2 linked regions of the Nothobranchius furzeri genome follow. The protein of the gene in region 1 purifies or fractionates together with the protein of each later gene. This does not show direct contact. Links are inferred from orthologs where the notes say so. Each region holds a gene or a part of one and is shown in the gene's direction. Other genes may lie near its edges.

Region 1 (7,916 bases):
TTTCCAGAAATGAATGGTAAAAAAACTACACATTGTTACTTTAAGCAGATCTAACTGAGTGCATTTGCTATTATTTACAGTTTATCATTAATTTTATGAGTTTTATTTGTTCACAGGTTAATTATTTACCTTTTCATGTTTTCTTTAGTGAAACAGCCAACTGGTCATGTGGTCCAGAACCAGTGAAACCTTTTAAAGCTCACCAGGATCTGTCCCAACGCCAAACCTACTAGCTGCTATGAATCACAGAGTTCTCTAAAGTGAAATCGTAATGAAAACTAGTCAGGTTCGAGTTCATGTCACGAGACATCAGCACATCAGGAACCACGGGGAATCCTGCCTGTAGGGCGAGCACATGAGGAGCCAATGTGAAGGGGACATCTCCGAGGAGATCCGGGAGGGTTGGAGCGGCCTGGGAGGCTGGAGGTCCATGTCCTGGTGCTGGGTGGGTAACAGGTGCAGGAAGCATTCCATCACTGGGCTGAGTTGGTGAGGGACAGGACGGCTGGGGGAAGACATTATGACATAATTTAAAAAATTAATCCAGAAGCAGGAATGATTCTCCAAAGGGACTTTTGACTACTGCAGGTTCCCACTTGGCTGAGGATGACTTGGTTTAAGGTTCTCAGTCATCTAGGTCATTGTAGTCTAATGAGCTTTGAAAGAAAAGCGTCTGGACTTCTTTGAGTTGCTTGAAGACGCCCAGCAACACACTCAGACAGAAACTGGTTCACCCGAAAGACAAAACTCCTAAACACAAACGGAACAATGTGGTGTATGCTGTACAGTGCAGCGAGGAATGCCCAGACCTCTACATCGGAGAAACCAAACAGCCACTTCACAAGCGCATGGCACAACATAGAAGAGCCACCTCCACGGGACAGGACTCAGCAGTTCATTTGCATCTAAAGGACAAAGGTCACTCTTTCGAGGATGCCAACGTTCACATTTTGGACAGAGAGGACAGATGGTTTGAAAGAGGAGTAAAGGAAGCCATTTATGTCCACTGTGAGCAACCATCTTTGAACAGAGGTGGTGGTTTACGACACCAACTGTCTGCCATCTATAATCCAGTTTTGAGATCCCTTCCCAGATGCCTCAATGCCCATGCATATCCTGGGCCATCTGACCTCAGGAATTCACATGATAGGGTGGGGCCAGGTTTCACAATGAGCTCACCCGAAACTCTGGCTGAACAGGACCCACACCCACCCTCACACCTTGGCTCATGTGTTTATGTAGAAGATCATCAGGGGGTCTTTTGTTCCCTCTTCCGGGGGGAAACTCCCACTGGGTTTAAATCTGGGACTCTCCACCATTTGACCTTAGAACTGAAGAAGCCCCTCGGATGAGAGGTGAAACGTCTTCAAGCAACTCAAAGAAGTCCAGACGCTTTTCTTTCAAAGCTCATTAGATGACTTGGTTACTAATGTGCAGCTCTCCTCTGAGAGATAAGCTGCAGGACTAACATTCATCACAGCGCATGGACCTTGAGCAGCTCACCTTTGATGGCTGCACGATGACATTAGTAGAGGGCTGTGTGACGCTCTTGGGAGGCATCCTCCTCCTCCGTTCTTCTGCTGTTTCTCCTACAGATTAAAAGATGGAAACAGAAGACACATTCTATCCACAACCAGAATATCAAGTAATTACAATAAAAGCCACGTAGAGGTGTAAAGGGTCGTCAGATCAGGAGCTGGGGCCTCTTTTATAAAACTTGGTGTCGATGATTTTTGAAGTCAAAGTCCCATTAGTCATCACACACTGGTGAAATTCATCTCCACATTTGACCCATCCCTGTGGGGAGCGGCGAGCTGCAGCTGTGGCTGCGCTCAGGAACTATATGGTGGTTTAACCCCCAATCCAAGCTCTTAAAGCTGAGTGTCAAGCAGGGAGGCATTGTGTTCCATTTATAAAGCCTTTGATAGGACCCGACTGGGATTTGAACCCCAATCTCCCAGTTCCAAGGTGGACACAACACTGAGAAGTGCTGTACTGATTAGCGTTTTATAATCTGTGAGAACAGAACTAGAATTCCTCTAAATGTCATTTATTGTTGGTTCAAGCTCAGATCCATTTTAAGCTTAGGCTGAGCACAAAGCTGTTTTAGGCACCTGCTCAGGGGTGTGTCATCTGACATGGTTCTCCTCAAATGTTTGTTGTTGTTTTTTTCTCCTTCCAATGTGTTTGCTGCACAAACTGACAAACTGTTAAATCATAACAATACAATTTGCTGTTTCTGCCAGAAAGAAACTCTGCTGGTACTCTCTCACTGATCTGGATGCAGAATGTACTCGCCGATGTCTGGAAAACACTTTTCCACCTCGACTGGATGCAGTCGTTCCTGAGCATTTTATTTTTCTTTTCATCAGACTGACCTGAGTAGCATTATCCAGCAGCACAGATCCTGCGTCACACACAGCTGCCTCACATCAAAACAAACTTGGAGCCTCTTCCTGTTTCTGGGTTCTGATGACCAGATCTGTAAACCCCGCCTGTCTAAAACCACCAGAACAGTGTTGACTCAAACTGTAGAGCTAGAGTTAATAGACACTGTGGTAGCAGTAAATCTGTTGAGTTAGATAGACTTCATATTGAAACAGGAAGTTAATGTTTGCGGTTTCCTCTGGCTGACTCTAGAGCCTAGACCTTATTTTCCGCATATTCCACATTTAGTTCTCATCGCCCCATCCGTGTCACACACTGGGAGGGAAAACAGCGGAAGTGATGGAGGAACCTTTGTGAACAGAACACTTTTTTAACAAGTTTTATTTAACCAATGAAGCTTACAGGCTTACATAAGAATCAATATTTACAGTTGAATTCTGAGCATGACAAAAAAGCAGGTGTACAAACAGAAACAATAATATTAATCTAGCTCAATATCAATGAACAGAACACATTTTCAACAGAACAATCATGATCGCTCTTACCAACGACGACAAAGCCTCCATCAACGTCCTTCTCGGCTGCTGACTTCTTTGAGTCTTTACGTAGTCCGAAAAAGTTTAACATGATTTTACTTCAACAAACAGAAAAACACAACGTCAGACCAACAGCAGAAGTTAAGACGGTGATGCATTTGAAGAGCTTCTGGACGGAAGCATACGGATATGGACTTTGCTTTCAAAAACGCCAAGCTAAACATTTAACTTGGTTTACTTTAAAGTTCTTCGATCGGTTACATGTGAAAAAGCGATTACGTGACGCGCTTACCGTGGTGTGAAGTGTATGAGTCCGCTGTTAGATCATGGCTCCTCTGGATGATGTTCTAGCTAATTCGGTGCCACTCGATTGTAGTGTAGCGGAACTGTTTACTGTCGTTTCTGGGGAATGAAATCCCGGAGTGCAGCGGATATGTCGTAAGAATCCGTATGCGCGCTTGGTTTATTAACCAAGTAAAAGTAAGCCGTCGTTGAAGCATTCGTGCTATTACACTGTGAGCGTGGTAGCTCCGCCCGCGCGGGCTACTCTAATACTACAAACAGCATCCATATAGTTTCCCGCGTTGTCTCTTGAGCTTCCTGTCGCCAATAAGTCAAGCCGCGAAGATGGCAAGTATCGTGGACGTCCCAAAGCCCAGAATTAACTGTTCTATGCTGTCGCAGCACATCAACCGACCGGTTTGCTTCGTTGGTCGAGTCGGACAGGTCAGATTACCCTGCGTGCATCTTTAGTCACGGTGTTTTCACGTAAACCGTTCGGTTGATGATCTGTTGTTCCACAGGTTCACCCCAATGGGAAAACGTTCACCGTCTCCGATGGAGAAGGAAACACCGCGACGGTAGAGCTGAACGAACCTGTGAGTACACCACACCGCAGTCCACTGGTGGGAACTCCGGCTCGTTTAAGAGAACCGGCTCTTATGGCTCGGTTCACTAAAATGAACCGGCTCTTTTGGCTCTCAAACAACTCCTCACTTTTTGTTGTTTTAATTAATCAACAGAAATTATGTAATTATTGACCAATTTACAAACTTGCATTAAATCAATTTTAGGCGGTTTTGCCTCGTTTTTAGCACCCCTAGTGCCTGTTTAGTAGAACCAAAAGCAAAACTTAAATCCTCTTGGTGTGAAATGTCTCCGCAGCCGTGATTAGTGTCCACAGAAGGGATTCGTTACTAAATCAAACATGTCAGATCTGTTTATGATCTAAAACATCCAGGAAACGTGCTGGAAGCAGACTGCAGCACCAGGTTTGTCAGCTAAAACAGGGGCCTGCCACACTGAAGTTGTGGTATTCTGGCTACAGAGGGCGATGGGATCTGAGTGACTTTCCATTAATCATGTAAAGGGACAACACATCATTACAGTTCACCACTGGGCTGCTGCTCAGATTTTTATTTGCATACATTTCTGAGAGCCATTTTTCGGTTTTGGGCTGTGGCGCAGTGGTTAGAGCTGTTGCCTTGCAGCAAGAAGGTCCTGGGTTCGCTTCCCAGCCTGGGATCTTTCTGCATGGAGTCTGCATGTTCTCCCTGTGCATGCGTGGGTTCTCTCTGGGTTCAAAAGACGTGCACGTCCAAAGACCTGACTGTTAGGTTAATTGGTCTGTCTAAACTGTCCTTAGGTGTGTGTGTGCGCGCATGATTGTTTGTCCTGTGTGTCTCTGTGTTGCCCTGTGATGGACTGGTACTCTGTCCAGGGTGTACCCCGCCTGATTGCCCATTGACCGCTGGAGATAGGCACCAGCCCCCCGCAACCCTACGTGGACAAAGCAGGTTCAGACAATGGATGGATGGATGGATCATTGACTACGTTTACATGCAGCCAATATCCGGGTTATGATCGGGTTAAGGTCGGTATTCGGGTTTCTGAGTTGATCAGAATAACCCGTTTACAAGCATTCTTGTTCTTCTTGTTCCGGTATCCGTGAAAACAACAACATGTTTCCCAGTTCAGAAGAGATAGTGACCGCATTTGTTTGCGCTTTAGTTTCCTCATCACTCAAAGTGTGGTGCTGTGCCGCGACTCGCCATGTTGCTCCCAACTTGTTGTTTACTTCCGGTGTTCTGGTGCATACAAGACGTCTCGCTACTCAAAAGACCAAGATTCCTTGTGAACAGAGCATGCACAGAACACACGCTTTGATGGGGATATCCCGGTATGCGTTTACACGACCAAACATTCGGGTTAGAAAAGGGTTACCCCAGGTGTAGTAACCGGGTTTTTAAAAACACGGTTATGAGCATATCCGGGTTTTTGGCGGTGTTTACATGGCCGTGCGGAACCGGGTTATTGTGAATATTCGGGTTTTAAAAGGGTTACTGGCTGCATGTAAACGCACTGATTCAGTTTCGTTCCACTTCACAATTAAGTGCTTTTTTTTGTTTAGGTCCATCACAGAACATCGTAATAAAAAACATTGAAGTTCGTGGTTCGGTGTCAAAATGTGTAAAGATTCAAGAGATATGAATACTTTAGCTATGCATTGTAACCCAACCCACATAACTTGGCAACTATAAACTGACACAAGTTTAGTGCGGTTTATCCACATTTATTTTTGCAAAACTTTAACGGCTTTGTTTTACGTATTTTATTTTTAATTTTATTTAATATTTATACTGTTTGGAAGTGTTGCTTCCTTTTACAACACTAAAGAATTTTTATAGTTACTCCAAATATGAAGTGAGTCATCTCTAGCCTGGCAAGGCATCCAGTAGGGAGCCTAAGTCTCCTCCCTTTCCGGTCAGCTCATGGGCTCCCGGAAGAACGAAAAAATGAAAACAAGGCAACGGGGCTAAGAGAGCTATTTCCTAATCCGCTTTGCCTTGCACCCTGGATCGCACATATGTAGTACTGGAATTTAAATGAAAAGTAATGGTGGGTGTTTCAACCACGCCAGTCACGTACTTTGAAATTTATCAGCTTGTAAAAGTTTGTAATTAGCACGACTACAAATCCGACATCGACACGTCGCATATGTGACGTCACCACAGAATCTCCTCTCCCCTAGCTTAGCTGCTACTTACCAAATAGCCAGATTTATGGTGGTTTTTCTCTCCTGAAGGAAGAATTTGAAGTTCGCTAAACGTCCAGCCATTTAGCCTTGATGACGTCACTTTCTTGAAGCGCATTTGTAGTCCTGGACTTATTGTCACACAAAACCTAAAATAGTGTTTCTCCCCGTTTGAAAATAAGCGCGTTCTTGGTATCGAAATGCGTATTTAAAATTCACGGACATCATATGTGAAATCCATGGCACATAACAAGCGGAATTAGAAAACAGCGTTTTTAGCTCCGTTGACTTGCATTCATTTTTACATTCTTCCGGGGACCCGTGAGCCGACCGGAAAGGGAGGCGAGGGTTTGTGAAACTTTTGAGTTGTTACAGTAGGGCTGGAACAAATTATCGAATGGTTCGATTGATTACATTCTTCGATTCATTTTTTTAGTGATTCGAAGCTTTGTTAAATATGCGCACCACAGTCTGAACACATTTTTACTGGCGCACTACGTGGTGATCTAGGTGCTGTGGAGGTAGAGTGTCCGCCCTGAGACTGGGAGGTCAGGGTTCGATTCCTGGTCGGGTCATACCAAAGACTTTGAAAAAAAAATGGGACCCAAGGCCTCCCTGCTTGACACTCAGCAATAAGGGGTTGGATTGGGGGGTTAAACCACCAAATGGTTCCCGAGCGTGGCTGTGTCTGCAGCTCACCACTCCCCCAGGGGATGGGTCAAATGCGGAGAACAAATTTCACACACTTATCAGCGTGTGTGACAACTAATGGGACTTTTTTAACTAACTTTTAAAATGGAGAAACCAGCAAAGACCGAGACCATTGTAAAAGGCATAAATGTGTCCAAATCTTGGTGCCTGTCATGTTTTCACTTATTTTCTCACCTTTCTGTAGCACCGGCTGTGTTTTCTCTCTCTCCTCTTTTACTGATTTGTCCCCACCAATATTTACAGGTCCCATTAGTTAATGTAATAATTGTGCCAGGGATTTTGTGCCACCCCTCTCCCTGCTTTCACAGCGATTGAAGGTGCGCTGCAACCCCCACCCCCTGTCTCATGTAAATCAGGGACACACTGTGTGTGTGTGTGTGTGTATGTGTGGTGCGCAACGCGCTTACATCTTCCAATTTTTTAATACCTCGGGAGCTAGGCCTGAGAGCCGTCTCGTTCAGCGTCAGCCTGAAGAAGCCGGCAGCAGTTGGCAAAACTGTAGCGTCAATAACAGGTAACAAAACCGTTTCTGTGTTTTAAAAAAGAACGACAACTTGGAATTAGAAATAACGCACAGCAAGAACACAGCTAAGATGAATTCCATAGCACCGACCGAGCACTGATTCACGTCGTTTCAAACTGTGCCTCGTTTCGGTACCTGTCCATCATAACGAGAACTTGCCAAGACAGCTGCGCATGCGCAAGAGCGTTATGTCGTCGCTCGCTGCGAGCGAGTTGTAAACAGAGCAGCATGGTAGAAAGAACGCACGCTAAAGCTTGGGTCCACTTCACTAAATGTGATGGGTAACTGGGTGATGATGAAACCAGCGACAACGATCTAAGTGAGACATCCTCATCTTAATCTGCTCCCGTAGGTAAATATAATTAGCTTGATATGTTAGCTTCCGTTTCGCTAATGGTGCGTTGGTTTTCTCCTCGGAACTCCGAATTCCCGACTAGAAGAACATGAACGTGCTCTAAAGTTTGGCTTCACTTTACTAAATGTGATGGGTGAAGATGAAACCAGTGACAACGATCTAAGTGTGAGGCATCATCGTTTTAATCTGCTCCAGCAGTTAAATAAACTGTTTAAGATAACGTTAGCTTGGTATGTTAGCTTCCTATGCCACCATTGTTATCAGCTAATGGTGCGTTCGCTTTCTCCTCTGAAATTCTAACTTCCCAGTAGGAAAAATCAAAAGAAAAAGGACGGTAAAAGGAATGAAGATAACCAGTAAATTTAGTTC
Region 2 (6,062 bases), on another chromosome or scaffold:
GACCTTTGAGCATGGGATTCCTGAAAATGCTTCCCTGCTGGAGTTTTATCCCCGTGGGGCTCCACCTGAGGCCATGCCGATCATCTTGTGGAACCGGACGAACCCTGAAACAAGCGACGCTGGTCGGGGGCGGCTGCTGCGAGGAGGGAGGGTCTGGTTGGCGGAGAAAGTCACGCAGGCGGATCAAGGCAACTACACCATAAAAGACGACGACGGGAACGTACTGTCTCGTAGCACCCTCTCAGTTCGTGGTGAGCTCCAGAGCTTTGAGAGGATTCTGTTTTTCGTTTTTTGGCAACAATAGGATGATAATTTTTTTCATCCTCTTTGTATCTGTTACTCTGTCATACCTCCATGTCTCCTCCATCACCCACTGCTGCTTTTGATCTGCATCCTAATGCAGGGCACTCCTTCAATATTTCTCGCTTCACCAAGGAGTCTCTAACCCTTCCCTTATTTCTCCCTCTCCATCACGCCCATCTCATTTTTACCCCAAGTCGAATTCCAGATGAGTCGTCCCTGGGCCCTTTCGACCCAAAGCCCCCCCGCGGCCCCGTGCAGCTGCTTCGCGAGGGCCACATAACGGACCACGACCTGCGCTACAGAGGAATCGTCTCTCTGAGCAGGAACGGATCCATCCATGAGGTCGTCATCATCAGACTCACATCAAGACATGACGGGCTGTACGAAGTCAGAGACGGGGATGGAAACCTCGTGTCTTCTACGTATTTACACATGATCGGTGAGCAGCGCTGCGCATTCACCTGGAAATTAACTTCCTGCTCAGTTGTGCAAAGTTTATCCAATTTCTGTCCCATCTGTCTTTCTGATCTCAGAAAAAAGGGGAGGGACGTGGCGAGCGCTCTTCAAGTCCATTTCTGTCCCATCTGGAATGTTTGTGTCGCTGGCCGGTTTCATCCTGTTTATGAAGCGCTACCCAAACTGCAGCCTGTCACAGATCATCACGGGCATCAGGACAAACCGCGCGGCGCCATCCAACCCTCCCAGGGTCAACATCCAGGTGAGGAGGACAGAACTCCACCGTGTGTAGCCCCGCCCACTTTTAGTCTCCTGCCATAGATTAAATGGTATTTCTGATTCTGAGCTTGCATCATGTGCAAATATGCATCTTTTAAATTAAATAGCCCTTTGGAATGCTGACGCACAGCAGGAAGAGCAAATCAAACCACAACATGTCCTATGACTGTTAGTAAAAGTGAAGTTAAAATTAATTTAGATGTATTTATAAAGCACTGTTTGGAAGATCAAAACTCCCAAAGAGCTGTAAATAAACACTCTTAATGATCCAGGAAATAAAATCTAAGTAAAAAAGCTGAGTTTTATTCTGTGTTTGTTACTGCAGAACTACAGTCAGACCCTTCAACAGCCTCCAGCCTACTATAGCCATCCCGAGCATCCTGTTACACCAAGAAAATGGACCCCAAGAGCCAGTCCTGCTCACTCTGTAAGGCTTATCATCGCTTGGGGGGGCTGGAACAGAGTTGAGTGTCTAAGCACATTGTTGTTGTGTACTTCCAGGGCTACACTCCTGTTCTGATGGAGACGGTGGGAGATGAAAACCAGGAACTGCAAAGACTGACAGCTGGTAGCTCCCCTCGTCATAATGTGACCACTGAGGTAAAACAGCAGAGTTGTGATGGATGGCAAGTTACGCGCTTTTTCAAATCCATTGCTGTCGCACCTCTCCAGCAGGAAAAACCTACAGAGGAAGAGGAAAATATTTCCTTTTCTGTTCCTGGAGCGTCAGACTGCCTCCATTCCTGCGAGGACTGTGTCCAGTTCCAGATCAAGAAAGACGGAGATGAGGAAAGGTGGAGCAAATCCAACAACTTATTTTCCGCGCTGCCTCTAGATACGGACACTTCTGAATCTTGCAGTGTTTACACATCAAATAAACTGGACTTTCTATAAAAACGGAGGCTAGGATGAGATGAGAAGTGAAGCTTGAGGCATGGAAATATTACAGTAGATGATTCTAAGCTGACATGAACAATCTCATGTGCACCAGTTTGCACACTTTTAATTCTTGGGTTTGTACTGAGTTTTGAACCACGGGTTGAGCGTTACCCTTCATGTCACACATTGCACTATGGTGCTCATGAAATCTCCTGCTGTTACCTACCTCCAGACCCTCAGGACCAACATGATCTGCACTGTCTTTGCCGGGTGTCTCAAGTGTTCATTGGCCTTCTATGATCCCTAGGTCTGCATAAACGTCAACATAGTTACTCTAAGGTTTGCAAGAGAAAATTATTAAAATGCCACATTATTATAGCATAAACTAAAGTGCATAATCATCCTGTTCATTCCTGACTGCTGCAAAAAATATTATAAATATCTGTCTTGCAGTTAAAGTTATTTTGCAGGTGTAGTGTTATTACCCTCTAGACAATTGTAGAAATGTAACCTATTATAGGGCAACAGCCTGTAAATCTGGGAACATATTATAGCATCACTAATGTAATTCATTATTGACTATCAGAAGGTTGTCTCTAAAACAATAAAATGTATATTTAACACAAACGCCTCATATTATCTATTCTTTGACTATAGAGAAATCTGCTTGAGCATGGGTCTGCATTCTTTACAATCCAAACGGCCGTTTTTCTCTCAGTCCATCCCAATAATTGTTCAGAGCCTCAACTGTTAGAGGACGTTCAGGAAAAACGCCATTTATGATAAAAATCTATGTTGGAGGTTTAACGTAGAGGAAAGTTATCTTCTTTTTTTTTTTTTTTTTTTTGCTCAGATGTCTTGACATTAATGGGAGAATTCTGAGATTAAAGCAAGAAATATTTGTGCCTTCTTCAATAAGGAACTATTAGATTTGCTGTCATTTAAAAATATCCAACATTTGTTTCCATTAGTCAATTTTAAAATGATAAAAAAAATACTTTGGCAAACGTAGAATGGAGATTTTTCTCTGGGATGTTGATATTTGTGGAAAATTATGTCAAATGGTAATTGTAGTTTCATTTTGATGTGGATATTCAATGTAGTTATTCCATAAAACCCGAAAAGCTGCTTTAACCAACAATTTTTAATATGTCTATGTTAAAAATGTGCTTTTTAAAATAATTTTTATCTAAAGAGCCACTTGCACTGCTGGTTGCAGACCCCTGTAAGATTTTCAAGAGTGCAGTGGTGTGTTTTAAGCGGTGGAGGGCAGTGCAGACTGAAATGAGTGCGGTTTGATTGTTGGCGGAAACCAGCGACGAAGAAAAAGGAAGCAGTTCCTTTATAGCGGCAATGAAAGGACAGCGTGCTATCTCCAGTTTGAACTAAATATAAGTGTTCACAAGCGGGGGGAAATTCAAGACGCCAAAAAACACAGTCTACGTTTAGGAGGGCACTGTTAGGACTGCGTTTGGAACATGTCTTTGGTTTGTGCAAGTAAGTGAAGATGAAAATTTGCAGGACGGCGCCTGTGAGTTAGCTCGGTATCATGCTAATGCTACAAGCTAATGAAGCTAACATTAGCGGCCACGCAAACCGTATTTAACTTCAGTTTCCCTCCATTCTCTTTTTTTTCTTTGTTTTTACTGAGTTGTGAGCGTTATGCGCCCTCTCCTTTTGTTTGTTTGTAGTTTGCAACGAGGTGCCGGAGCACCCGTGCATCTCCCCGGTGTCCAATCATGTGTTTGAGCGGAGGCTGATAGAGAAGTACATCGCCGAGAATGGGACGGACCCGATGAACGGACAGCCGCTGTCCGAGGAGCAGCTAGTGGACATCAAAGGTGAACTACACCCTCGATTTGACTTTATTTAAGTTTGATTAACTTGATATTTTTGGACACTACGAATGAATTAATGAGTAAACGACGAGTTTGAAATTCGCATTGTATTAAAGCCTGTTTAACATGATAAACATGAAATGCTGAGTTATTCACACTGAAGTGGTTGTTTGGGACAGATTATTTAACCTAAGGCTAACCGATTATTAATCCAGGCATCAAAAGGGATCAAAATTAAAAATACAGTTTATTATAATAAAGGTAAATAACTAAACTTTTTGTCTTGCGTCGTTTTTAACTGAAATGATCATGGCCATCTGATCTTTCATTTATTTTATTTTTAATTGAGTCGTAATTTTAAAATAATGGTTTTAATTTATTATTAGTAACACTCTGATAAGTCTGGGCCTTTCAATAAACTGTACCAGTTCAATCCAGTTGCACACTGAAATAACATATTTAACTTAAAAAGGTTTGACTGAATTTTTCCTGGTTTGGAAAATGTCTTCCCGCTTAGTGACCCACCCCATCAGACCAAAGGCGCCATCAGCAACAAGCATCCCAGCTATTCTCAAGTCTCTTCAAGATGAGTGGGTGAGTGATGGAAACGGTCAGGAGGACACTCGTCCACCTCACACCTGTGTGTTATTGTTGACTATTTAGAACAGGAATCACCCTTTTATTTTTCACACAACAGCTGCTATTTGAACAAAAATAAATCTGAAAACTCGTCAAACACATAGATCAACATATGACACTTTTACGTAACTTTTGAAGTAATTTTGGGGTTTGTAAGCTCAAGTATTAAAGACATTGCTGTCATTTCTAATAAATTAATTTCAAATCTCAGGAAGAGTTGTTTTTTTTATGCGTCCTACAGGATGCCGTCATGCTTCACAGCTTCACCTTGCGGCAGCAACTGCAGACTACTCGCCAGGAACTCTCTCACGCCCTTTATCAACACGACGCAGCCTGCAGAGTCATCGCTCGACTCAACAAGGAGGTCACGGCTGCAAGAGAAGGTCTGTATGTCCTAAGAAGACACATCTTGGTGTTTCTAAAATGTTAATAGCCACTTGGCGTGTTATTTCAAAGGTTTATTTGTTAAATGGGAACATAAGCACGTTTAAAATGTCCTAAATGTGTTTATTTTGTTTTTGCAGCTCTGGCCACACTTAAACCTCAAGCTGGACTGGTGACCCCTCAGGCCGCCCCCGCCTCTCAGCCTGCTGCAGCAGTGAGTGACCCATGCCTAACTGTTTTAACCCTCAGCTCTTGGTAGTTTTAGTCCTCTTGTATAAAATATTCACATTTGTATTGCAGGGTGCTGGTGGAGAGCCTATGGAGATCAGTGAACAGGTGGGAATGACTCCAGAGATCATCCAGAAGGTAAAACACTTTTTTTATGTCCACAGAATTTTATTATTTTATTATAAGCTCATATTTCATTTTATTTAAACAATTTAATCTGTTTGATCATTCCAGCTGCAAGACAAGGCTACTATTCTCACCACAGAGAGGAAAAAGGTTTGTAGCATTTTTTCCTTGTTATAGTTATAACTTCCAACGGAAGGTAAAGTTTTTATATCTTGTGATTGTGTGTGATTTAAAAAGTTCCTTGTGCTTCTGTAGAGGGGAAAAACTGTTCCAGAGGAGCTGGTTAGAGCCGAGGATCTCAGCAAGTACCGCCAAGTGGCCTCCCACGCTGTAAGTGCAGAACCAGGATGATGAAGATGGTCCTATAAACGACTGAATGTGCTTCATCTGGTGGACTTGTTTCCTGTTTGCTTCAGGGTCTTCACAGCGCCAGTGTGCCTGGTATTCTGTCCCTGGACGTGTGTCCCTCAGACACCAGCAAAGTGCTCACTGGTACTCTGAGCTTAACTCTGTCCTATTTGATTTGGCGTTGTGTCGAATCACCCGCTCGGGGCCGATTTAGTCCAACGCTGACTGTGTTGTCGTCCTCCAGGTGGAGCTGATAAGAGTGTGGTGGTGTTTGACAAGAACGAGGAGCAGATTGTGGCGACTCTTAAAGGCCACACCAAAAAGGTCACCTCTGTCATTTTCCATCCATCTCAGGTGAGTCTTTGTCCGTTGGGGGTCTTTTATTGATAACTGAAGGAACGTGCCAGGTGTGATCCTTCTCTCTGACGTGTTCTCCCCTCTAGTCTATGGTCTTCTCTGCCTCTCCTGATGCCACCATCCGTGTGTGGTCTGTTACCGGGGGCAACTGCATCCAGGTGGTGCGTGCCCACGAAGCCAGCGTCACCGGTCTGTCCCTTCATGCTACTGGAGACTACCTGCTCA

Evidence for each region. Proteins that work in one complex are often made in the same cells at the same time.
Region 2: the proteins of rpa3 (region 1) and prpf19 purify together in Homo sapiens (affinity purification with western blotting; 3 studies listed by BioGRID, with this or other methods). This does not show direct contact. The link is inferred for Nothobranchius furzeri from reciprocal best matches to the Homo sapiens genes RPA3 and PRPF19.

The regions. Positions count from the first base shown.
Region 1 is NC_091751.1:24,166,076-24,173,991, forward strand, and holds the start of rpa3 (replication protein A 14 kDa subunit), read left to right. Parts: upstream 1-3,486; 5' UTR 3,487-3,551; coding exon 3,552-3,650; intron 3,651-3,727; coding exon 3,728-3,802; intron 3,803-7,916. Other genes in the region: umad1 (UBAP1-MVB12-associated (UMA)-domain containing protein 1), read right to left, coding at 230-505, 1,504-1,589, 2,934-3,015. UniProt on the Homo sapiens protein: As part of the heterotrimeric replication protein A complex (RPA/RP-A), binds and stabilizes single-stranded DNA intermediates that form during DNA replication or upon DNA stress.
Region 2 is NC_091741.1:94,861,653-94,867,714, reverse strand, and holds the start of prpf19 (pre-mRNA-processing factor 19), read left to right. Parts: upstream 1-3,262; 5' UTR 3,263-3,395; coding exon 3,396-3,414; intron 3,415-3,608; coding exon 3,609-3,758; intron 3,759-4,272; coding exon 4,273-4,349; intron 4,350-4,635; coding exon 4,636-4,777; intron 4,778-4,918; coding exon 4,919-4,992; intron 4,993-5,078; coding exon 5,079-5,144; intron 5,145-5,240; coding exon 5,241-5,282; intron 5,283-5,387; coding exon 5,388-5,462; intron 5,463-5,548; coding exon 5,549-5,624; intron 5,625-5,724; coding exon 5,725-5,834; intron 5,835-5,923; coding exon 5,924-6,062. Other genes in the region: uncharacterized protein, read left to right, coding at 1-251, 404-742, 837-1,021, 1,364-1,465, 1,540-1,638, 1,711-1,932. UniProt on the Homo sapiens protein: Ubiquitin-protein ligase which is a core component of several complexes mainly involved pre-mRNA splicing and DNA repair. Required for pre-mRNA splicing as component of the spliceosome.